Linked DNA regions of Notamacropus eugenii. The protein of the gene in region 2 purifies or fractionates together with the protein of the main gene of each other region. This does not show direct contact. Links are inferred from orthologs where the notes say so. Each region holds a gene or a part of one and is shown on either strand. Other genes may lie near its edges.

Region 1 (7,261 bases), about 200 Mb from region 2:
AGGATTTAATCATCAAATTCACCCAAGACCCATTCCAAATTCTCTAACAACTTAGGCCTCACCCCAATCCCACACCTGCCTATCCCCAGAAACCCGCACCTGCCAAACACGAACAAAGCCATCAGTGCCCCCAGTGGCAAGCAAGGTATTATCATGATTGAAACACACAGTCTTCTGCAGTGGGTCAGAGCCAAAGTCTGTCTGCACAGACTGCAAGTTCTCCACATTCAGCTCCACCTCCTCTCGCTGAGTTGATGCCCCAGTTTCTTGTGTTTCAGTGGTAGCTCCTGTCCCCTTCCTTTGCCTTGGGCCCTGCTCCTGGGAACCTGCAATCACAAATTGTGGTTCTAGATTTCTCAATAGTTCCATTTGGCTGGTCTCTGCAAATTCTACCATATGTCATAGGAGGAGGACAGTGATGTAGGTTTGTAGAGATGAGATGTTTCTCCTCATCAGGTCCAGGGTGTAAGTAGGTAAGGTAAGAGAAAAGTCAAAAGGGGGATTCACTAGTTCCTTTCTTGGGAGCAGTTTGAGATAAGGCTTCTCACCTGCATCATCTTGTTTGTCACTGGTCTCCTGCTCTTGAGGTCTGAATTGAAGGAGCTGACAGCTAGCATCCTGCCCTGCAGCAAGAATATTGCCTGCAAGGGCAAGGTTCATGGTGGCCTTAGTCTCGGTGTCATGGGAATGCAGCAAAGAGGCACTCAAAGCTCCACCAATCTGTTCCAGTTGCAAAAAGTGCTGTGGAAATAGAACAAAGTGAGGTCTGCTAAGCCCGTGCCCAGGACAGCCTCAGGGCTCAAGGAGTTTTAAGTCTCCTAGGACTCATCAGGATTCATTTTCAAGGAAAGTCCCTGGAAATTCCAATTCCTGGCAAACCTCTCCAAGGAAGGCTATCTGCTTCAGTTGATTACAGGGGTAAAACCTGCAAGTCCCCAGAAGCTCTGATCTCTTAAAACCTCAGAAGGGAAACTTTAACTTGGCCGTGTGCATTTCCCTTACTGGAGTGAAGGAAGTGGTGAAGTTTTAGTTTTGCTTGCACAGACCGATGGCAGTGAAAAACCACAGCAGGCACTGCAGACATTCTGCTTTGAACCCAGCTAAGCTCCCTGTCCGGGCAGGGGTACATCAATGCCACAGGGCAGGAAACAGACAATGAGAGGGAGGGGAGAAACGACAGAGCTCAGCAATGCAGGGTGAGGAGTCTATCAGTTTTGGGGTCTCTGGTGGCACGTTATACTAGACACTGGTGGGGGGGCACCAGGGGCCTCTAAAACATAGGGGGGCGCAAACGTCACCGGAAAGTGAGAGGGAGGAGAGGGGCCCCGGGTAGCCGGTGACAGGAAGGAGAGAGAGGTGGTCCCGGATTGGGGAGTGAGGCGGATCGACCCCGGGGTCCCCTTCTGGTCGGGCCCGGCGGCTCACCACTCCATTCTTGATGCCAGTCTTGGCCGCGCCGCCCCCGCCCGCGGTGATGAGGAGGCCGGTGCTGGGTTCGACCCGCAGCGCGTACAGAGGGAATGGCGCCCGGTACAGCTCCGGCGCCCGGCGCCGTCCCATCGTCCAGCCTGCACGGCTCACAGCGGGCTCATGCCCGGTGCTCGCTCGCTCGCTCGCTCAGCCCACCCTGGATGTCTCCCCGAGGACTCCGCTCCACGCTCGGCTCCGACCCCAGCCCAAGAGCAGCTTCCTCTTCCCACCGCCCAGTGAACCCAGGCTACAAACGCCCTCACTGCGCAAGCGCGCCCATCTCATGGCCTCTCATGCGCAGGCGCAGGGTGACAGTACACGTCAGCACAATCTGGCCACCTTTCGCCGAGACGTAGGTCACGTGAGCAAGGGCACCGAGGTCTGAGGTTCCTCTGTACGCCTGCGAGGTCCGGCCATTTCTGTGCAAGGCACCGGAAGTCTCCTTTACAACCACTCCTGGAAGAGTAATGACGTGTACGGTTCCGGTACAGCTTCAGTGCACGGGATTGGGGGCGTGAATTCTCGCGAGAAAACTCAGTAGGGTGCTTCCCTGAGATGGAATGGCTCAACCTTCCCTCCCCGAAGGCCGAACAATTGTGACTTTTTCTTCATATACTGACATTTCCCTCTCTCTTTAGCTAACGTTTACTTATCCCTAAAGTTTGCCGAGCACTTGCACGCCTTAGTCTCTGTTGTTCCCCCCACAAGCCTCCGGCACAGGTCTTTTAATCTCATCCCCCGTTTTACAGATAAGGAAACTGAGGTTACGTGTTTTTCGTACGTAGAGTCACGCCGCGAGTGGGGACCCGGCATTCCAGTGCAGTCATTCTCGTTTCCAGAAGCTCGGAGGAGGACCCAGAGGGGAGGCCCTCATTTACATCCATCTCTCCATATAGTTCGTTCATTCATTCAGTAAAACTCGCTAACCAGTGGCCCTAAGAAGCGGTAGCATCCGAAGCTTCGGACCTCCTTCCCCCCAGCCCCAAACCGTCCCGACGGGGGGGGCTAAACTAGGAGGAGGGGAGCCAACCAGCCACAAACCTGTCGGGGTATTGGGGGGGCGTGGACCCCCAAGCACAGGAGGACGTTCCCTGGGGGAATAGGCAGGTGAGAAGCTTGTTCCAGCGGGCGTGAAGGCTGCTGAAGGAAGCAGGTGCTTGGAGCCTGGTTAGACGCCCTAGACACCGCCCCCTCATCCGGTCCATCCGGGGTAGCCTTGGCTTCTGTCCTGCACATGGACTTCAGGACTCGGTGCAGCTCTGCTTCCCTTCAGTCCAATTCACCCCAAAGTCAAGATGACCTCTGATGTCAATCGGTCCTTTAACAGCAGCCTTTAAGCACCTACTGTGTGGTGGCTCAGGCAGAGCTCCTTCAGGAGCTCCAGAAATCTGGAGAGTGAGAAACCATGTTGCCAATGTTTCCATAACTTGTTATTTTGTTGCATTTTATACCGTTTTGTTACTTGATATTCACTTGCTGCTGCCGCTGGTGGAGCGACTTTTTTACTCTGTGTACTCTATGAGGTCGTGCGATAAATCCTGATTGGCCCGAAAAGAGTGGGGAGTAAAGTTTAATGTAGAAGAGGAGAGAATTGCTATAGCATTATTATTCTTTTAACTCAAAGCCAGGTAGATTTTGGGATAGTCATTTGGGACCCTGTTACAGCTACACACGAACACATATATGTATAATGTTTTTGAGGTTTACAAAGTTATTTCTTCACCACAACTCTGGGAAATAAGTAGTACAAGTTTTATTAAATGGGGGGATAATAAATTCTACAATATTCTGCCATGGTTAAAGCACAAGTCAAATTTAGTTGGCGTTCAATTCCAAAAGTCACATTTTAGGAAAAATATTAATCAGCTATTGAGTGTCCAAAGAAAGGTTACCAAGTAGACCTCAAATCCTGCCACACGAGGAGAAATTGAAGGACTTAAGGATGCTTAAGGCAATGTGGACCTGATATTTTTAAGTATTTGAAGGGTTGTTATTGGGAAGTGATTAGATTTGTTAAGGTACCAAGAGGCAAATTTAGGTTGGATATCTGAAAAAACTTCCTAACAGTCATTAACTGTTTTCAGTCATGTTCAACCCTTCATGACTCCTTATTGGGGGTTTTCGTGGCAAAGATACTGGAGTACTTTGCTATTTCCTTTTCCAGCTTCATTTTACAGATGAGGAAACTGAAGCAAACCGTCACACCTAACTCCAGGCCCCCTAACACTACTTTCTTTACCACCCTCTAACACTTAGAATTATCCTAACAATTAAAACTATCTAAAAGTGCCTTGATACTGGGTTCTCTCTCACTAGAACTCTTCAAGCAGGGGCTTGATGGTTACTTGTCAAGGATACTAGAGAGGGGATTTGGGTGCAAATTGCATTAGCTGGCCTTTTAAGTCCCTTCCAATTCTGAGAATCTATGATTCTGTTATCCCCATTGTGTAGATGAGGACATTGGTGCTCAGACAGGTTGAGGGGTCTTGCTCAGGATGACACAGCTAGTAAACAGCACAGATGAGGTTGGAGGATCAGAGATTTAAAATTAGAAGGGACCTCATAGGACCTATGACATTGGTCATCTAATCCAGTCTTTTCATTTTACAGATGATGAAACCAAGCACCAGAGAGAAGTTAAGTGAATTGCTCAAGGTCATACAGGCAGGAAGGATTTGAACCCGATGCAACCAGAATTTCTGTACCACTGTATGAGAATCAGTTAGAACTGACTTGCAAGTCTAATTATTTTCTATTATATCATATTCTTATCATATATAATACGGTGTCCTTTGGAAAGGACCATGAACTTGAGGATAGAATTACTTCTACTGGGAAGAACTCACATTTATAGAGAGCTTTTTGATGTTTACAGAGACTTTCCTCATAATAACCATAAGAGGTAGATAGGGGTATTCAAGGCCAAGAGGTTTATTGAATTGCCCAGAGTCACAGAGCTGATGAACGTAGGAGATATGAGCTTAGGCCTTCGGACACCAAGCTCTACACTCCTTCCACTATATCGTACTACCTTACCTAATTCTCATAAGTGTCATTGAAAGAGGACTATGTATTTCTTTGCTTCAGCTCCACATCTGTATCTGGGACTTTTGACTGGAGAAAATAAGGTGCTGGGAATTGGGAGAGACTGGGCATTCCACTTCACGAGGTGCGTGGGGGGGAAGGGATTGGGAGTACTTATACCAACACTGCTCATAATGATACATTCATACATACACACATTGTTCTGTAGCATTCTCTTTATTGTGGACTACAGAATGAGGGCCAAGTGCTGGTGGTTGTAGGGAAACTCTATAGCACCCTTTGGCCATTTTTAGCCCGGGGACAGTAGACTCCATAAAGGACTCCCAGGATTCCTGGATGGAGAGTAGACATGGACCCCACCCAGCCATCCCTTCAGGGTGTCCCTTGGGCTCCCAGTACTTTGGGGCCTGGGCCGAAATAAAGGGAATGGGGCCCGGGCTGTTCCTAGGCAGATTCGCCCAGGTTCTTGCTTGGAGATGAAGTGTGGGTGTGTGCCTCTGGGCATATGGGGGCATGGGCAGGAGGGAAAGGGCTGGCCTTTGGGAAAGCAGGACCAGGGTCTGGGACCTGCAGATGTAGAGACTCTGGGCAGGGAATGCAAGGTGGGAATCGAGGCTCTGGGGCTGGGAAGCTTTCTTCCTTGGGGCATTGGACCTCGACCAGATACTCCAGCTCCTCGATCCCTCTCTTGGGTAATAGTTCCAAGGCTTGGGCCTGATCCCGTTGCAGGCGCAGGCCGAAGCCGATGCCGATGTGGAGTGGCCCAGACCCCAGTGCCAGCCCTTGCCTGGAGGGCAGCAGTTGTGGGAAGGCAAGGAGTTGGGGTCCAGGCCAGCGGCTGGGGGCTGGACAGGAAGACCCTCTTGGTTTGCGGCACACCAAACATATAGGATACTCCACGGCTGGAGCGGGTCCAGCATGACCCTGCCATAGGCGCTGCAGCAGCAGTAACCGCAGATCCCTGGCAATGCGACGGCGACCAAGAAGTGCCACCAGGTCCTGGGCCAGAGCTGCAGGGCCCCCCTGCTCCCCAAGCCCAGTCCCGCATGGTATGCATCCCCCCCCAATTCTGGGGGCTGTCGCACTATTATGAACCTGCCTAAGCCTTTCCCTTCTCCTTTGGCAGTCCTGGAGGCCACCAGAAGAGGAGGATAGACTTCCTTTTAATGAAGGAGTACAGTCAGGGGGCTGTGAAGGAATATAGGGAGGGGGCAGTGCTTGGGGTAGGCAGCGTTTGAGGGGAACCTGGCAATATGTATGGGGATAGGTTTTATGGTAAAGTTGAGGTTGGGCAGCTGATCTGGGCCAGGAGGTGGGGCCCAAGAGGAGCTCAATACCAGGCTGAGACCTTGGGGACAGAGAGATCTGTAGTACCAGTTGGTTGTTGTGCCTGGGCACCATCTCCTTTGTTTCAGGAGGTGGTGGATGTAAAGAAACCAAGGGTGATGGGATCACAGTGGAATAAGACTGGTGTGGCTGACTGTAGACTTGCCGGTGCTGATGGCCTGCAATGTTTTGCTCCAGGCGATTATAGGCCTCAGGGCTAAGTAGCGTTGGAGTCACAGGGCTCGGTAGGGGTAGGGTCTCAGAGCTCTGTAGTGCTGGGCTCTCAGGGCTCTGTAGTGCTGCAGGGAGGGAGGGTTGGACTTGGAGCAAAATGGGAGCTGGTGATGGAAGCAGGTGCCAGGCTAGAGATAGGGGGACTGCTCCCAACGTGTAGCTCCGGGGTTCTTGGGGGGGCATGAGCTGCGCCCCCCCCAGGAGGCCAAGCTTAAGTTGGTGTTCTGTCTCTCTCTTTAACTTTGGTCTTTGATAAGGGTGTACAGGGCCTTGAGATTCAGAGCTGTCACTTAGGGTATGAGGGGTAGCAGGGATTTTCTGAATAGAGTACTGCCGCCAATAAGGACAATTCATCCGTTGGGACCTGCCAAAAAAACACAGGTCTTCAAATCTGCATGTCCATATCCACTTTTCTTTTTCCTCTTCATAGGACAAGTGTTGTTCTCCTGACACTATCAGTTTCATTCATGTTTTCCTAGAGTTTTATTTCCCTCCCTCCTACAGCCCTACAACTGAGTATTAGCCACTGCTCACCAAGACGTCCCCAAATCCACGAGTTTGGGCCTGCTAGCTACCTTTGGAATTACAGGAGCTGTAAGGACAGACAGACTTAGTTCAGAAATTTTGTGTTAGGGTATATATGAACTGATAAGGTGCTTGAGTAGAAAATCTGGGAGCAACTGGAGAGCTGGGGTATGATAGAGCCAAAAAGAAGGAATGAAGAATGACCTAGTACTGACGGTCCTTACCTGGATGGGGACTCCTTGAGGTCCGATTCACAATATTCTTCAGTCGTGAGGGATTCTAAGCCAGAGGAGAACTTGGTTAATAGCTGTAGACCACCTATCCTCAGCCCATGATTCCCTAGATCAAAGCTTAGTTTAATCTACATTCAAGATCCCCCCCCCGCCCCGAGTTCATGCCCTCTACCTTCTGCCAGTTCTTTATTTTCCTTATCCCCAGTTGTCATCTCTCCAAACCCCAACTGCTTTCCTGTTCCTAACTTTCCTGACTGACCGCCCTCACCCAGCTAAAATGGCTCAGTAGCCCAAGCAGGACAAGCAGCAGCAGCAGGGGGCCCAGCAGGAATGAGACATCTAAGAAAGAGAGACTTTCTCCAAGGGGCGGCAACGCCGCCCCCATAAGGAGCTGTCAGCCCCCCTGCTGCTGGGTGAGCTGCTCTAAC
Region 2 (7,048 bases):
ACCAATTTCATCAAACAATTCCCCTATTTAAAAATCTCCAATGGTTCCCTACTGCATATCCAACTTTTTCCTCTCATGTCTATCCAATAATCTTTTTAATGTCCTCTGAACACACCATGTGCATTACTAGTTCGTGTAACTGCGATATTCTCCCTGCCTGTGCCAAGACTTCAAAAGTTAGATGATAAAAACTGTTTTTCATCTCCTGATAGAAGATTGGTTGGTAGACCCAAGGTATAGGATAAGGATGTGGATATGGTGATTTTAATGATTTATTTTGCTTGATGGTGCTTAGTTTTTACAAAGATTATGTTTTTCCAATTTTTATTTGTAGGGAAAGGAGACAGGAGTTGCAAAAAAAGAAAGAGAAGAAACAAAAGAGGTCATTGAACCATCTTAAAAAATGCTCAGACAGAAATATAAAAAAGTTTAGAGGGAAATAGACAAAACAGCTTTGAAAGAAACATGCTGAATTTATCATATAACTTTTTAAAAAATATTCTGTATAAAATTTGTTACATAATTTCAGTTATAATTAATTTTTGCATTTTACTTTCTATGTGTAAGGTGTTGGGGTTCTTTTTGGTGTTTGGTAAATTCAGAATAATAAAATTAAGTAGTGTTTGTATAATGGAAAAAGTTCTGGATTTGGATTTAAACAGCTGGAGTTAAAATACAATCTCTACTAAATTTTTGGCCTTCAGCAAGTCACTTAATCCCATTTGCATCTCAAGTTCCATATCTATAAAATGAGAGGATTGGACTGATCTGTATGGTCCCTTCTGGCTCAAAATCTGAACATCCATCATGATATGGAAAGATTTAGAGTCAGAAGAACCCATTTAGAAAATCTAGCTGTATGAAGTTGAGCAAATTTCTCCTTTTGTGGGAAATTTCCTCACTCTTAAAATGAAGGAGTTTGACTAGATAAATTTCAAGGGGTTTCCAATAATTCTGACAAATCCTACTAAAAGTCCTTTGGGGTTCAGCTAAGTCCTTGCTCAGCTACTCTACTACAAATCAATTGTTCTCTATATTTATGATCTTAATGTTTCATTACTCATATTGTAGTATCAATTATTTAATAGGTGTTAGGTCTTGCTCTCTAATCTATATAAGTAAGTTGAAGGCAAGAAATGTGTTTTACATTTCTTTCCTATTCCCCTCAGCTCACAAGAGAACTTAAAATAAAATCTGTTGAATGAGTAATTTACCAAATGCCTAAGATTAATTCCTTTAATACAAACATAATGTATGGTATGTGTATATATTGTAATCATTAAAATAATTTCATACTTAGAGTAGTGATGTTCCTCAGTGAAAAACTGATTTAATAAGACCACTAATTAAATTTAAATATCACATAAAGTTACACAAATTGGAATGTCTTCTTTATTGTTGATCAAAATCAGAGGTTTCAAACACAAGGCCCGTGGGCTACTCCCAAATTTGGCCCAAACTAGATTAAAATGGAATTGGGAAATACTTAAGAAAATAAAGAAAAATTTGATAGAATGAATAAGTGGGAAAAATTCAATAGAATTAACATGTGGTCGATATGCAGCCAGAGGATTCTTACATATAATTTAGTGGTCCTGTTTATATTTGAATTTGATATCTATCACTGGTCTGAACTATGACTCTATAGATATGAAAATGTGAGAAAAATAGAGATTTGAGACAGGAAATTAATTACAAATGAGCAGTTGACTGATAAATCTTGTTCCTCACTTTAGTTTACTTTTCAGAAAAAGGATTCAGAAAAGTACTTTTTCAAAAGTTTAGAAATAAAGGTTACATAAAAGACAGACGATAATTACTTATTTGAAGCCATTCTAATCTATTAGGCTACAATTATACCACATAATATTAGGAGACCTGGGTTCAAGAGAACACTTCAGATTATGTTGATCATGGGCAGTTTATTTCATCACTCAGAATATTAGGTCCCAGGTCTGTAAAATGGGGAAAGTAACAACTATTACACCTCAAAGAGCTGTGAGCATGGAACAATAAATGTAAATAGAGTATTTTGCAAATTGTAGGGCATGATACTGTCAGCTTAAAAGTAGATGCAATAACCAAAATATTTTGTGTAGTAGATTTAAAAAGAAAATCTAACTTGCATTGCTCATATACATAAACAAAATCATGAGAGAAGTCTTTGATATTGGCTAAAGGTTTGCATAAGGAATACATGAAAAATTAATCATGAATCCCTGAGGGTCTGGGATGCTAAAATTTGTACATACACACACACACACACACACACACACACACACACACACACACCAGTATAAGTCATGGTGGCTTAAATATATTTTTTAAATTGTTGGAGAAATAATGATACTCAGAACATAGTTGAAAAATTAAAATAAAATTTTTGTTATATAAATCAGCAAGAATGTCTTTATGTACTCCAGTAAACAAAATGAATAAGTGGGAAAATAAAATGGTAAATAAACAAGTACATTTTAAAATGCTAACAAATTTGATTGTGATAACTGGTAAGACCTCTGTGTCATCTGAATTTATACCAAACTTTGACCCTTTGACCATTTCTGTGAGGTAATGCCACAGAACACTTCTTTTCTAATATTTTTCACAGGCAATCTACAAAGCTAATCTTTACAACTTCATTTTTTTCCCAATGGTATACCAATATTTATACCAAATATTTCCATTTTAATATTTATGCGATGTACTTACGTTGCTATTTTCCATATACTTACTTTCACATTCCACATCTCCGCAGTTTTTAAACTCTGCCAGCAGTTTTGTACTCTCCGAGCTCTTTATCAAGGAAATTACTAGAAGAAAAATTCTGTAGACTCCAAACTGTCCCATGACAAAAACAGAAAGTAGGAATTCAAAAAACAGTCAAAATGTACCATTCACACGAGAATACTGCCTCCTAAACAAGAGAGGCATTTTTTTCACTTGCTATAACAAAAAGGTTTTAAAAGCCTTTGGCAGATATATTTCCTTTCTGTTTGCCAGTTGAGCTTACTGGATAAATGCTCTCTTTCTCAATCTGCATTGACAGCTATTTATATAACACACTAGTATTTAATTATTAACAGATTTGTTTACTTTGACTAATATTTTTATAAAGGCAGCCCATATAAATCTACCTCATTTAAAGTTACACTGCTTTCAGCATGGATTTCTTGGAATGCATAGCAACACAACCTCTTCCTGTTAGTCTTCAGAAAAGTCAATCAATGAATATTAATTGATTACTTACATGTGTATAATGCTGCTTTCAGTTGTAGGCTGGATGTATAGAGTCAGTAATAACTTGTCTAAAGAAAATGATCCATTTTTCTGACTATCATGGGGAAAGCTGTTAAAAATATAATTATAAGAAGTAATTTTTAAATTATATTGGAAGGTATATTTATTCCTACTTAATCTAAACAAAAAAACCACTCAGACTTTAATTTCATACAATAGTAGCTAAAACATGGCAAGTAAAAAGTTTGAAAAACATTCAATCTGTGGGACTAAATAGAAGTAAAGTGTCATGTTTCAATATCTGGGAAATGTTTTAAAAGGATCTCTTTTCTTGCAAGATTTCAATACATTTGCTTAGGTTCTAACATACGAAATCAGTTTGTGGGATATCTCCATTAGTGTCTGAGAGAAGAATCTCATAAAGTCACAGTTCCCTCTAGTGTCTAAAGCAGAACAAAACACCACCACAAAAATGACAAATACAGAATTACAAAAGTTAGATAAGTTTTGTTTGGGGTTAAAAAGTTTTCATGCCAAAGTTATCTTATTACATATACAATCTCCAGTGCCATCAAAGGACCAATTCCTGACAAAGAGAAATAAATAACCCCAAACACCATCTACAAGTCCTTCCACCCTTGCTAAGCAAGGAGCCTGTAGGTTAAGTCAGAAGCTTTTCAGGATATGCAGTAAACAAAAAAGGACCTATGTCTTAAACAGGCAACCTGCGTTTCTCCCCACAATGAAAAGGTAAACAGCTTGATTGTGAATTCTCAGAACTGTAGTCCTGGAAAGAAAAAATTCTATTTTCCAAACTTGGGAAAGACCATTACAGGCTCTGAGCTGGGGCTAGCAGGGCTGCCATTTCAGGGGCTTTTTGACTGATTTGCAACAGAAAGAAGAGTGGCATGGAAATGAAAGAGGGAAATTAGACTCTTTGCACTGTGGGTTTGACATTAGTAGCAGCTCCTGAGGAAACAACTGTTGGTAGCTAACTTACAGAGTGGATTTGGATCCCTGGACTTGGAGTTAGGAAGACTTGATCTCAAATTCAGCCTCGGATACTAGCTGAACGACACTGGGCAAGTCATTAAACCTCTCTGAGCCCCAGTTTCTCCATCTGTAAAAGGGGATAAAAATAGCACCTACCTCACAGTTCTGGAAAGATCAAACAAATGGTATCATTAAGGCACTTTGCAAACCTTAGAACTCTATATAAATGCTAGCCTTTTCATTATTTTTACTATTACATACCAGGAAACTAAGCAGTAGAGTGGATAGAGAGCTGGGCCTAGAGTGAGAACAGACCTGAGTTCAAATAGTCTCAGACACTTCTTAGCTGTGTGACCCTGAGCAAGTCACATAATTTGATTTTCTTGACTGTGAAATGAGGATAATGATAGCACCTACTTCCCAGGTAATATTTGGTGAATATTTGGTGAGGTAATATTTGTGAAGTGCTTAACCCACTACCTGGCACACAGTAGATGCTAAATAAATGTTTATTGGTTGATGGTTCTTTAAGTGTAAATATAACTCCTGATTTAATTAGAATCTTTGAAGACATCTTGTCCTTTACATAAAACTATTATCAATCATAGCCATTTTGTGACACATAACAGGGGGAAGGAGAGGGAAGGAGAGGGAAATGGAGGAAGCCAGTGTCTAGTGTGGCATATACAGGAAAAGAAAATAAGTCAAGGGATTAAAACCCTCTCCAGATTCCCAGGATTTAATCTTGACCTGGTTGATTGAAAGACAATCCTATGGTTTTGGTTATTAATCACTTTAAGTGTCTAAATGATAGAGAAAGATTATTCAAGTCATTTCAGGCCTAGTGTGTGGTTTAAAACTCATGTGTCTCTGGGGAAAACTCCAGTTTTCCATGGAATAGCAGTGTGGACTACTTAAAGATATCCCTGTGGGAAAAGAAAGGCTAAATCGTGTTTCACAGTGAAACCAACAGGTTCTAAGTAGGAACTAGTCTGGAATAACTTATTTTCCACTTGGAATTTTAGATAATATTGATAATAATAATAATGGTTAATATTTATGCAACACTTTAAGATTTGCAAAGCACTTTACAAATTGTTGACAAGTGAAACCAGTTTGGCTAGTATGACCAAATACCCCTAAAATGCAAGTATGCAAAAGCTAATAAACCTAGAACCTGGGCATTATTGCAAAGTGTTACTGCATCCTGGTTACATATCCTTGTTGTTAGAGCAAAGTAAACCTTCTTTGGTTAGCTATTCAGTGATTGTGAGTGTCTCATTTTGTCCCAATATCTAACATGAAATATTTATTAACAAAAAAATATTTATTTTGGCTCTTTTTATAGCTTCCCTAAACTGGACATTGAGGTCTACCATTACGGAATGGATAAATAAATTATGGTATGTGAATTTAATGGAATGTTATTGTATTATTCCAAGTGACAAAATGTACAGTTTTAGAGGAAAACAGAAGACCACTATGAACAGATGTAAAGTGAACAGAACTAGGACAGTTTACATAATAATGACATTATAAAAAAAACAACATTAAATGACTTTAGAATTCTGATCATTGCAATGATAAACCAACATGCCAGAGAATTACAGATGAAGCACACTCCTACCAGAGAAGTAATGGACATAAAATGTGGAATGAAATACACACTTTTTAAACATGACCAGTGTGGGAATTTGTTTTGCTGGACCATGCATATTTATATGAGGGTTTTATTTCTGAAGTCTGCCTCTTCATCACTTCTTATTTTTATTGTTCCTTGGGGGAAGACAGGGGAATGGGAGAGATATGCAATAAATATCTAAAATAAATATACAAACCAGAACTTAAGGAGGACAGTACCAGGACTAGCCATATGATTTTTAAGTGTAATAAAGGAATATTAACAAATATCAAAAAGGTAAAAATAGTCTAAGCATGAGGTAATGAGGGCTTGCACTAGAATGGTGGAAGTTTCAGAGGAGAGAAGGGGGCATATAGGAGAGATGTTACAGAGGTGAAATAGGTAGGCCTTGGCAGAATCTTAGATATGGGGGTTGAGGATAGGTTGGGAGCCCAAGGGACTGGGAAGATGCTGTTACCCTCTACAGGGTAACAAGTGGAGTATTTAGGGGTAAAGAGAATTAGTTCTGTTTGGGGCATAGTTAGTTTAATATGTCTACTGAACATCCAGTTTGAGATGTCTGAAAGAAATTGAGATGTGAGATTGAAGGTCAGCAGAGGTGTTGGGGCAGGAAAGGTAGATCTGAGAATAATTAGCACAGAGATGGTAATTAAATCTATGATCATTGGTGAGATCACCAAGTGAAGTAGTGTAGGGAGAGAAAAGAAGAGGGCACAGGGCAGGCCCTAAGGAACAGGGTTGTGTTCTGGATGGTGTGTGGTCTGGAAGAGGATCCAACAAAGGAGACTGAGAAGAGGTCAAATAGGAAGGAGAAAAACCAGGAGAGAGCAGTGTCCTGGAAACCTAGAAAAAAAGAGAACATCAAGGAAGAAAGGACAAATCAGCACTTACTATGTGCTAGGCACTGTGCTAAGTAGCACTTAACTTTTTGTATTGTTCTGTATGACCTTAGGTACTTAATCTCTCAGTTTTGAGGTTCTTTCACTGGAGTTTAGCTGTCCTAGTTGGTAAATCAGTAGACCTCCTGGTCCCAGACCATGTTTCCAGCCATATACCTCAGCAATCTTGCCATCCAGCACTGTCAACATTAATCACAGGTTCATATTCGTTTCCTTACCTCCCTCCTCTTTCTCCCTACTAATTGATATGGGAACTATGAATATAAGAGGAAATACA
Region 3 (7,223 bases), on a different chromosome or scaffold from region 2:
TTGCCAAAATCTATGGCTTTGATCATAAGATAAGAAAAAGAACGCCTAAAACCAAAAGTTTTACACGAAATAAGCAGTTTTAAATATATCAAACACTAAGTTAATTTAATCAAAATTTACAAGGAAAGAAAATTCCTTTCTCCCATAAAGCAGATAGGGAGTAGCTAGGTGGCACAGTGGATAGAGTACCAGGCCTAGAATCAAGAAGACCTGAGCTCAAATCTGGCCTCAGGTACTTACTAGCTGTGTGACTCTGGGCAAGTCACTTAACCCTGTTTTTCCTCAGTTTCCTCATCTGTAAAATTAGCTGGAAAAGCAAATGGCAAACCACTCCAGTATCTTTGCCAAGAAAACCCCAATTGGGATCACAAAGAACATAAAGCAGATAGAGAAGCTGACACCAAAACAGCATTATGAAAAAAAATCATTGTTGGCAGACACTAAGGAAAAATTTAGACACAAGATCAGAGCATTCTATAGATTTGGTGCTGGAAGGGACCCTTTCAGGATAGCCCTTCTCATTTTGCACATGTAATCTGAGACCCAGAAAGGTTGTGACTTGCCTAAGGTCACAGAGATTATTAGACACAGGACTTGTTGCTCTAACACTGATTTAAATCAGGCAGGAACTCAGATCTGAGTTGATATTTTATTAGTTACCCCCCACATATATGTACATATGAATATGTGCTATGCATGTGCACATGTATAAATGCACATACATATACAATGCTACAAGTATAGGTATGTTTTGTGCATGTATATATGTTGTATATTTATATATAACTGTACACATATACACATTAGTATGCATACACAAGATTGCACATACAGTTAAAAACATGCTTATATTTGCAGCATAATATAGTGCGAGAAAAATATTCTGAATCAGAAGACCTGGATTCAAATCCCATCTCTAGGGGTAGTGGTTGTAGGACCCTAGGCCCTTAAGGTCTTAGAGTCCCAAGCAACCTTAAGACCATAAATTGCAGAATATTTCCTATTCTACAGAGGTCTGAACAAAAAGAAAAAAAAATCCCAAGCCTAAAATTAAAAATGCACACACTTTTTTCCCTAGTATATAAAAGAGCCAAGAAATGTTTACACAGTGGTTAAGGGAAAAGGAGAAGAAGAGCAGTGGTAAACACTCTATTCCTTTACTAAGCATAGACTAAAGTTCTGCATAAATTAATTTCTAACTATACTTTGGAATGAGACATGTATATATAATAACTTGTTTTAAGATCTGTTCCAAAAAAGTCACTTGAAAGAACAGAAAAGGCTGGAAGTTTTCATGTATTGCAAGTGGTCCCTAGGTTAACTTTTAGCAATTTGTTGACAATGTCAACATACAACTAATTGTATGTTGATTCTGCTTATTCCTCTTCCGGAGATACAATGATTCTTGTATTTCAAGTTATGGGACTTTTTTTTTTTTAAAGGTACCTGTATATGAAGAGTGGATGATGGATTTCTTAGCCTTTTCAGAATATTTTCTTATTCATCCTTGCATATTATAAGGGCCAAATCACTTGTCTTCTGGCACTTATGTCAGCCAGTTACAAATCCATTTGTTACAAGAGTTGTCAGACAAAAGACAACTAACAACAACACAAATGGCAAGAAATACTGGAATATTTTGGAGTTTTCACAAAAAAGTAGATGAAAGTAAAGTTACTTCAGGTTGTAATACTGATGGATTCTTTGTTTTTTAACTATTCAAAATTACTCATGACTACCTCCTCCCTCAGAACTGGCAAAACGACTTAAATAAATCAGAAACCCAGTTTTAACTAACTGCTTCAGCTTCCTTGCCTATTAAATGGGCTATGCCAAGAGTTGGTCTCCAGAGTGAAAGATAGGACCTTGCCTGCGTCTTGTTGGATAGACAAGATTTTTCACACAAGGACAAGATTCAGAGCTCAAGGATGTCCGATGGTAACAACAATGTAACGTGTTGGCACGTGTAGGTAATTTGGGATTAGCCCTTTCGGAAACCCAAAACACTTTTCAAAATACAACTAGCAAACAATTCCAGTAAGACTCGGAGAGGGCGGAAAAAGCAGCCCACGAGACTGCCTTAAACCTAGCAACCCATCTGGTTCCACAAATGGAGCAAAGGAGAGATTTTGTAACCGTGGAAGGGCTGAAGGCACTTTCTCCCCGGCTAAAGAATAAACACTGAGCTTTGAACACCGACAAAACCCAAAGAGGACTTGGATGTTAGGTTTCTTCATCTTTGGCGAAGGGAGGGGAGGCTGGAAGGGGGTGATCCGAGGCCATGCCAGCAGTTGGAGCGAAGGTGAGGGGCCATCTCTGCTCTCCCCTCTCTCGATTCGGGGGCCAAAAACTTGCAACAAGTGGCAGAAGCCGGAGAGCTGGGGTGCCGCGGTGGCAGGCTGAGGCGGAGCTGCGGAGACGCCCAGACCCAAGAACAGAAAGACCGGGGGAGGGGAAGGGCGCACTTTCTTCTGCCCCCTACAAGCGCCAGCTTGGCCTCCGCTGTCCAGAGCCCGCGGGCACAGACCCCGGAGCAGGCAGCTCGTCCTCCCCCCAGCCCCGCAGCCCCGCGTGTCCGCCCAATTCTCCTCCTCCCCCCATCCCGGCGGGCCCCGGCGCCCACTCACTGCTGCACTCCTCGTCCGAGCAGCGTTTCAGCTCCGCGAAACGCCGGTCCTCGCTTCGGTTCGCCTGACCCAGCCGCGGCCCGGAGGAAAAGAGGAGAAGCAGGAGACAGAAGGGCAGGCGCGGCGCTGCAGCCATGTTGGCGGGTCTGGGACTGGGACTGGGACTGGAGAGGTGAGGGGGGCGGAGGGAGGCCCCGGGCGCGGGGGACGGCGATGGCGAGGCGGCGGGGCGGCGGGGAGGAGAGAAGAGAAGGCGGGGGCGAGCGGCGAGGCTGGGACCCGCGTTTGGGGCGGAGGGAGAGCATGAGCAGTGCCAGGCAGACACGTCAGCCGCACCGGGGATGGAGAAGGATGGGAAGGGAGGGCTGGGGGAAGAGGAGAGGAGGAACCGGAGAGAGGGCTGCATCTCTGCGGCCTACGAGAGGGGCGGGGACATGCCGGGGAGACCCCGTCACCCGGCCTTTGTTCCGTCACCTCTCCCTCGTCCTATCCGTTCGTGCTGCCGCCGGCATCCCGCACCCCTCGGCCACAGATCGCCTCTGCTCCGCGGCCCTGGGCCCGCCGGCATCCCGCACCCCTCGGCCACAGATCGCCCCTGCTCTCCTCCGCGGGTCCATTACCCATCTTGGCCTCCCTCCTGCCATCCCCTTGTCCTGACCGCTGTTATTCTTGACGTGGAAACAACTCCGCAATTCCTCGCTTTTCACTTTGAATCCCCCACCCCCAGGGCATCCTGTCTTGTCACATGGGATAACCAAAGGGAAGAGGGGTTTGGGACGGTCTGGGATGGGCCAGGCTAACGAGAAGGGACCGGGGATGGAGCACCCTCCCTGCTAAAAGGGGAGTTTTAAAAGCAAGAGAAGTCTAGAGTCATGAGAGAATTTTGAGTAATCTCACAAATACCTCTAAATTAGATGGATATCTCTGATTTAAATTTGCCTTAATCTACTGTAATTTTGTAGTGGAGTTAATATAGTATATGTACAGTACCGTATTTCACTGCATAATGGTTGCAGGTTTTATGCCAATTTTTTTTTTTTTTTGCAAAAATGTGGGGCACAACCATTACATGAAGTTTTTTTTTTTTTTGTGCTGATATTTCTTAAAAAATCATTTATTACTACACTGTCTTTGGTGCAAGATTAGGATGCATGGAATACTCATGAATTTATATTAAAATTGAATACTGACAGGAGTGCTGAGAATTCTAGGGCTCACACAGCAGGAGAGATAAATGTCTATCTATATGCCACTGGTGGATATATTGTTACTGTTTACCTTTTAAGTAAATGAAGAACAGAATTATACAATGTGTAGCAGCAAGCACCCCAGCATACACAGGAGGGCCTGCTGTGCAGGTTCTTAGATCTGCTTTTCTAAAAGAAAGCAGCTTTCAAGGGGTCAACAATCTAATGACATTCACCAATACAGAAAATACAAGCAGAGAAATAAAGACCAACAGACGGGGGCTTCTAACTGTCTGACCATAAGCAATACATACATCAGAGATCAACAGACAGATCTGTCTAACCATGCATACATAGTTACTAGAGAGAGAAGCACCAACATCTGTTTTTTCAAAAGAGTGGGGGCAGGGCTACCCAGAGTCTCATCTGGCACATGAACCTTCTTCTAAGCCCCCAAAGCAAAACCTCACCTCAGAGTATATATACACTTTTCAGAGCAGAGGGCACAGCCCTTGTGATCCAGTGCCTCATTAATTAACAAAAAGTGTGGGCATTCCTACAAAACAAGCCTCCTCTAATCAAGCTTCCCTTAATAGGCTACAGGTGAGGCCTATTAATGAGTGGGGAAGATCTTTAACATAAATCTCATTAACATTACACCATTTCACCATTAAGTGATGAAAGGTTATAAACCAATTTTTGAACTGAAAAAAAAGAAGGTACCATGATTATGCAGTAAATTATAATACTCATATGGATAGTGACCCTAGAGGAAGAGTTCCATTATACTTGGAAGGTGTGTGTATGTGTATATAAATACATGTATGTGTATGTACACATACATATTTATACACATATATTATACTGTCTATATGTACATATACATATATACACATATAACATGTGATATGTATGTATGCTAGAAAGGAGGCATCTGTGATGTGTCTGCATTTAGACCTAGAACCTGGGTTTGCATTGTCTTAACTTTGAGCAGGTCACTTAAACTTTGAGTCGATCTCAGTTTCCTCATCTGTAAAATGAGGGAATTGAGTTAAGTGACTTTATGATGACCTTGTCATCTCTAAGGCCCCTTCCCAGCTGTGAATCCTACACCCTTAGATACGTTTTCCATAACTAGCTCTAATGATGCTGAATCTTGAGGGGGGATAATATTAGTAAAATGTGCCATCAGAATTGGTCATTTTGAAACAAAACTAAAAGAAACTTAAAGAAATCAGTACTGTAATGTTCTTTTTTTATGCTTATACAAATAAATAGCTTGTTACCGACTGTGTATTTACATATTCAACAAGAACCTATGACACTGTAGTTCCAAGAACACGTGTACTGTTGACTTAGGGTGGAAGTCTGGCAAATCTTCAGAAATGCAACTTTAACTTTTAGATAGAGGAAGTCTCTAGTTTATAATCTGTACCCCTAAATTATGTAAGTCATTTCATTAGAACTTGTAATTAATTTTTCCCTATAAACAAATGGTGCTTAGAATAGCCTAGAAAAGTCTATTTAGCTCATATTGTAGCTTTTTTGAGGGGATTAGTGAAACTCTGTACACATACAATGAAAATAGTAGAAAATAATTCAGTCTAAATATTCATTTATGTGCAAAACACTGTAGCAGACACTGAAGATACAGAGAGATGGGCCACAGGCCCTAGTCTGAGGAAGTTTACAAATCTAATAAGGGAAAGGACCAAAACCAAATAATTACAATACAAGGAAGACTGAAATGAGGAAGTATCTATAGTGGAAAGAGCATTAATCCTGGAGTGAGAGGGACAGGGTTTAAATCTCACCTCTTATACTACTTATGTGCCCTAAGGCAAATACCTAAAGTCTCACTCAGCTTCAGTTTTCTCATATCTAAAATGAAGGGATTGAACTAAAAATAACATCTGAGATCCTTTCTAGATCTGTGAGCTGTGATCCCAAAGTACAAAAGGAAAGGTCCAGTCCAAGTGTTATGAGAATTTTGAGACAGAAGAGATCCCTTTCACCTGAGGTGTCAGAGGCCTTATGGAGAAGGTAGCATCTGAATTGGACCTTGAAGAAAGGGCAGTACTTCAACAAATGAAGAAAGCTTGACAGGGAATCCATTCCAGCCATGGGGGACAACATCTTCAAGGCATGGAGATATAAGGGACAGAATGATAGTGGAGAATAAAGAGCAGTCCAGTATTCTTCATGAAGACTGCATGAAAACTACTTATAGGTAGTAGTGTGAAATAAGGCTGCATAGATGGGTTGAAGCCAGATTGTGATGCACCTTTCCAGCTCTAGATCAGTCAATAAATAATTATCAAACAGAAGTGCTAGTCTATTGATCTATCTTGATTTATGATTTAGATAGTTAAATTATTTAAACTTTAACTAGTTAAAACTAACTACAATTAAAAGAAAACCTTAAAGAAATCAACTTTTCTTATGATATAAGTAGCTTGTAAGCATCTATATATTTACTCATTCTACAAGTTAGTTTTATTTATCTGTTTCACTCTATGATGCTTTGCTAGAGTCAGACTATACTTTATTTTTTAGGCAATAGGAAGTCTAAGAAATAAAGTCCTAACAAGATCTTTTTGTATAAACATACCATGATCACAGCAATGCATTAGGATCATCCCATGAATATTGCTGTAGAGGTTAGATAGAGAAAAAGATGGGAAGAGGGGCAAGAATGCCAGTTAAGAGCCTGTTACGATAATGTAGAGGACAAAAGTAGAGGACTTGAACTAGAGTGGTTATTGAAGGAGTTAAAAACAAAGTCTAGAAAGATATTATGGAAGTAGAAAAGGAAGGATTTAGGTACAGGTGAGGGATAAGGAAAGAGTTTTGTCTTAACCATAAGGTTATGATGTTGTAGTGCTGCTAACGAAACAAAACAAAAAATAATGACACTGAATAAGATCCTTTTAAAAAATTCATCTTGAATGCTATTTCATGATTGAGGAAATAATTTTAATTAAAAGATAAATAGGGAGACAATCTAAATGAGAAGGATGAGTATTTTAAAAAATATAAATTGCCCAGATTAACAGAAGAGGAAGTTGAATACTTAAACAACCGCATCTCAGAAAAAGAAATTGAACAAGCCGTCAATGAACTCCCTAGGAAAAAATCTCCAGGGCCACATGGATTTACAAGTGAATTCTATCAAACATTTAAAGAACAGTTAATTCCAATATTATATAGACTATTTTTGAAAATTGGGGAAGGAGTCCTCCCAAATTCTTTTTATGATACAAATATGGTTTTGATACCTAAACCAGGAAGAGACAAAACAGAGAAAGAAAATTATAGACCAATTTCTCTAATGAATATTGATGCAAAAAGTTTAAATAAGATTTTAGCAAAAAAGAATACAGCAACTTATCACAAGAATAATACATTA

The links. The genes of interacting proteins can lie anywhere in the genome.
Region 1: the proteins of MIA2 (region 2) and PREB purify together in Homo sapiens (affinity purification with western blotting; 3 studies listed by BioGRID and IntAct, with this or other methods). This does not show direct contact. The link is inferred for Notamacropus eugenii from reciprocal best matches to the Homo sapiens genes MIA2 and PREB.
Region 3: the proteins of MIA2 (region 2) and MIA3 purify together in Homo sapiens (affinity purification with western blotting; 6 studies listed by BioGRID and IntAct, counting the BioPlex papers as one, with this or other methods). This does not show direct contact. The link is inferred for Notamacropus eugenii from reciprocal best matches to the Homo sapiens genes MIA2 and MIA3.

The regions. Positions count from the first base shown.
Region 1 is NC_092872.1:528,417,165-528,424,425, forward strand, and holds the start of PREB (guanine nucleotide-exchange factor SEC12), read right to left. Parts: upstream 3,057-7,261; 5' UTR 1,561-3,056; coding exon 1,426-1,560; intron 742-1,425; coding exon 549-741; intron 327-548; coding exon 100-326; intron 1-99. Other genes in the region: PRR30 (proline-rich protein 30), read right to left, coding at 4,960-6,439, 6,610-6,667, 6,825-6,879, 7,102-7,218.
Region 2 is NC_092872.1:331,985,102-331,992,149, reverse strand, and holds the start of MIA2 (melanoma inhibitory activity protein 2), read right to left. Parts: upstream 3,032-7,048; 5' UTR 2,848-3,031; coding exon 2,733-2,847; intron 1-2,732. UniProt on the Homo sapiens protein: Plays a role in the transport of cargos that are too large to fit into COPII-coated vesicles and require specific mechanisms to be incorporated into membrane-bound carriers and exported from the endoplasmic reticulum.
Region 3 is NC_092873.1:414,066,269-414,073,491, forward strand, and holds the start of MIA3 (transport and Golgi organization protein 1 homolog), read right to left. Parts: upstream 3,057-7,223; 5' UTR 3,034-3,056; coding exon 2,628-3,033; intron 1-2,627.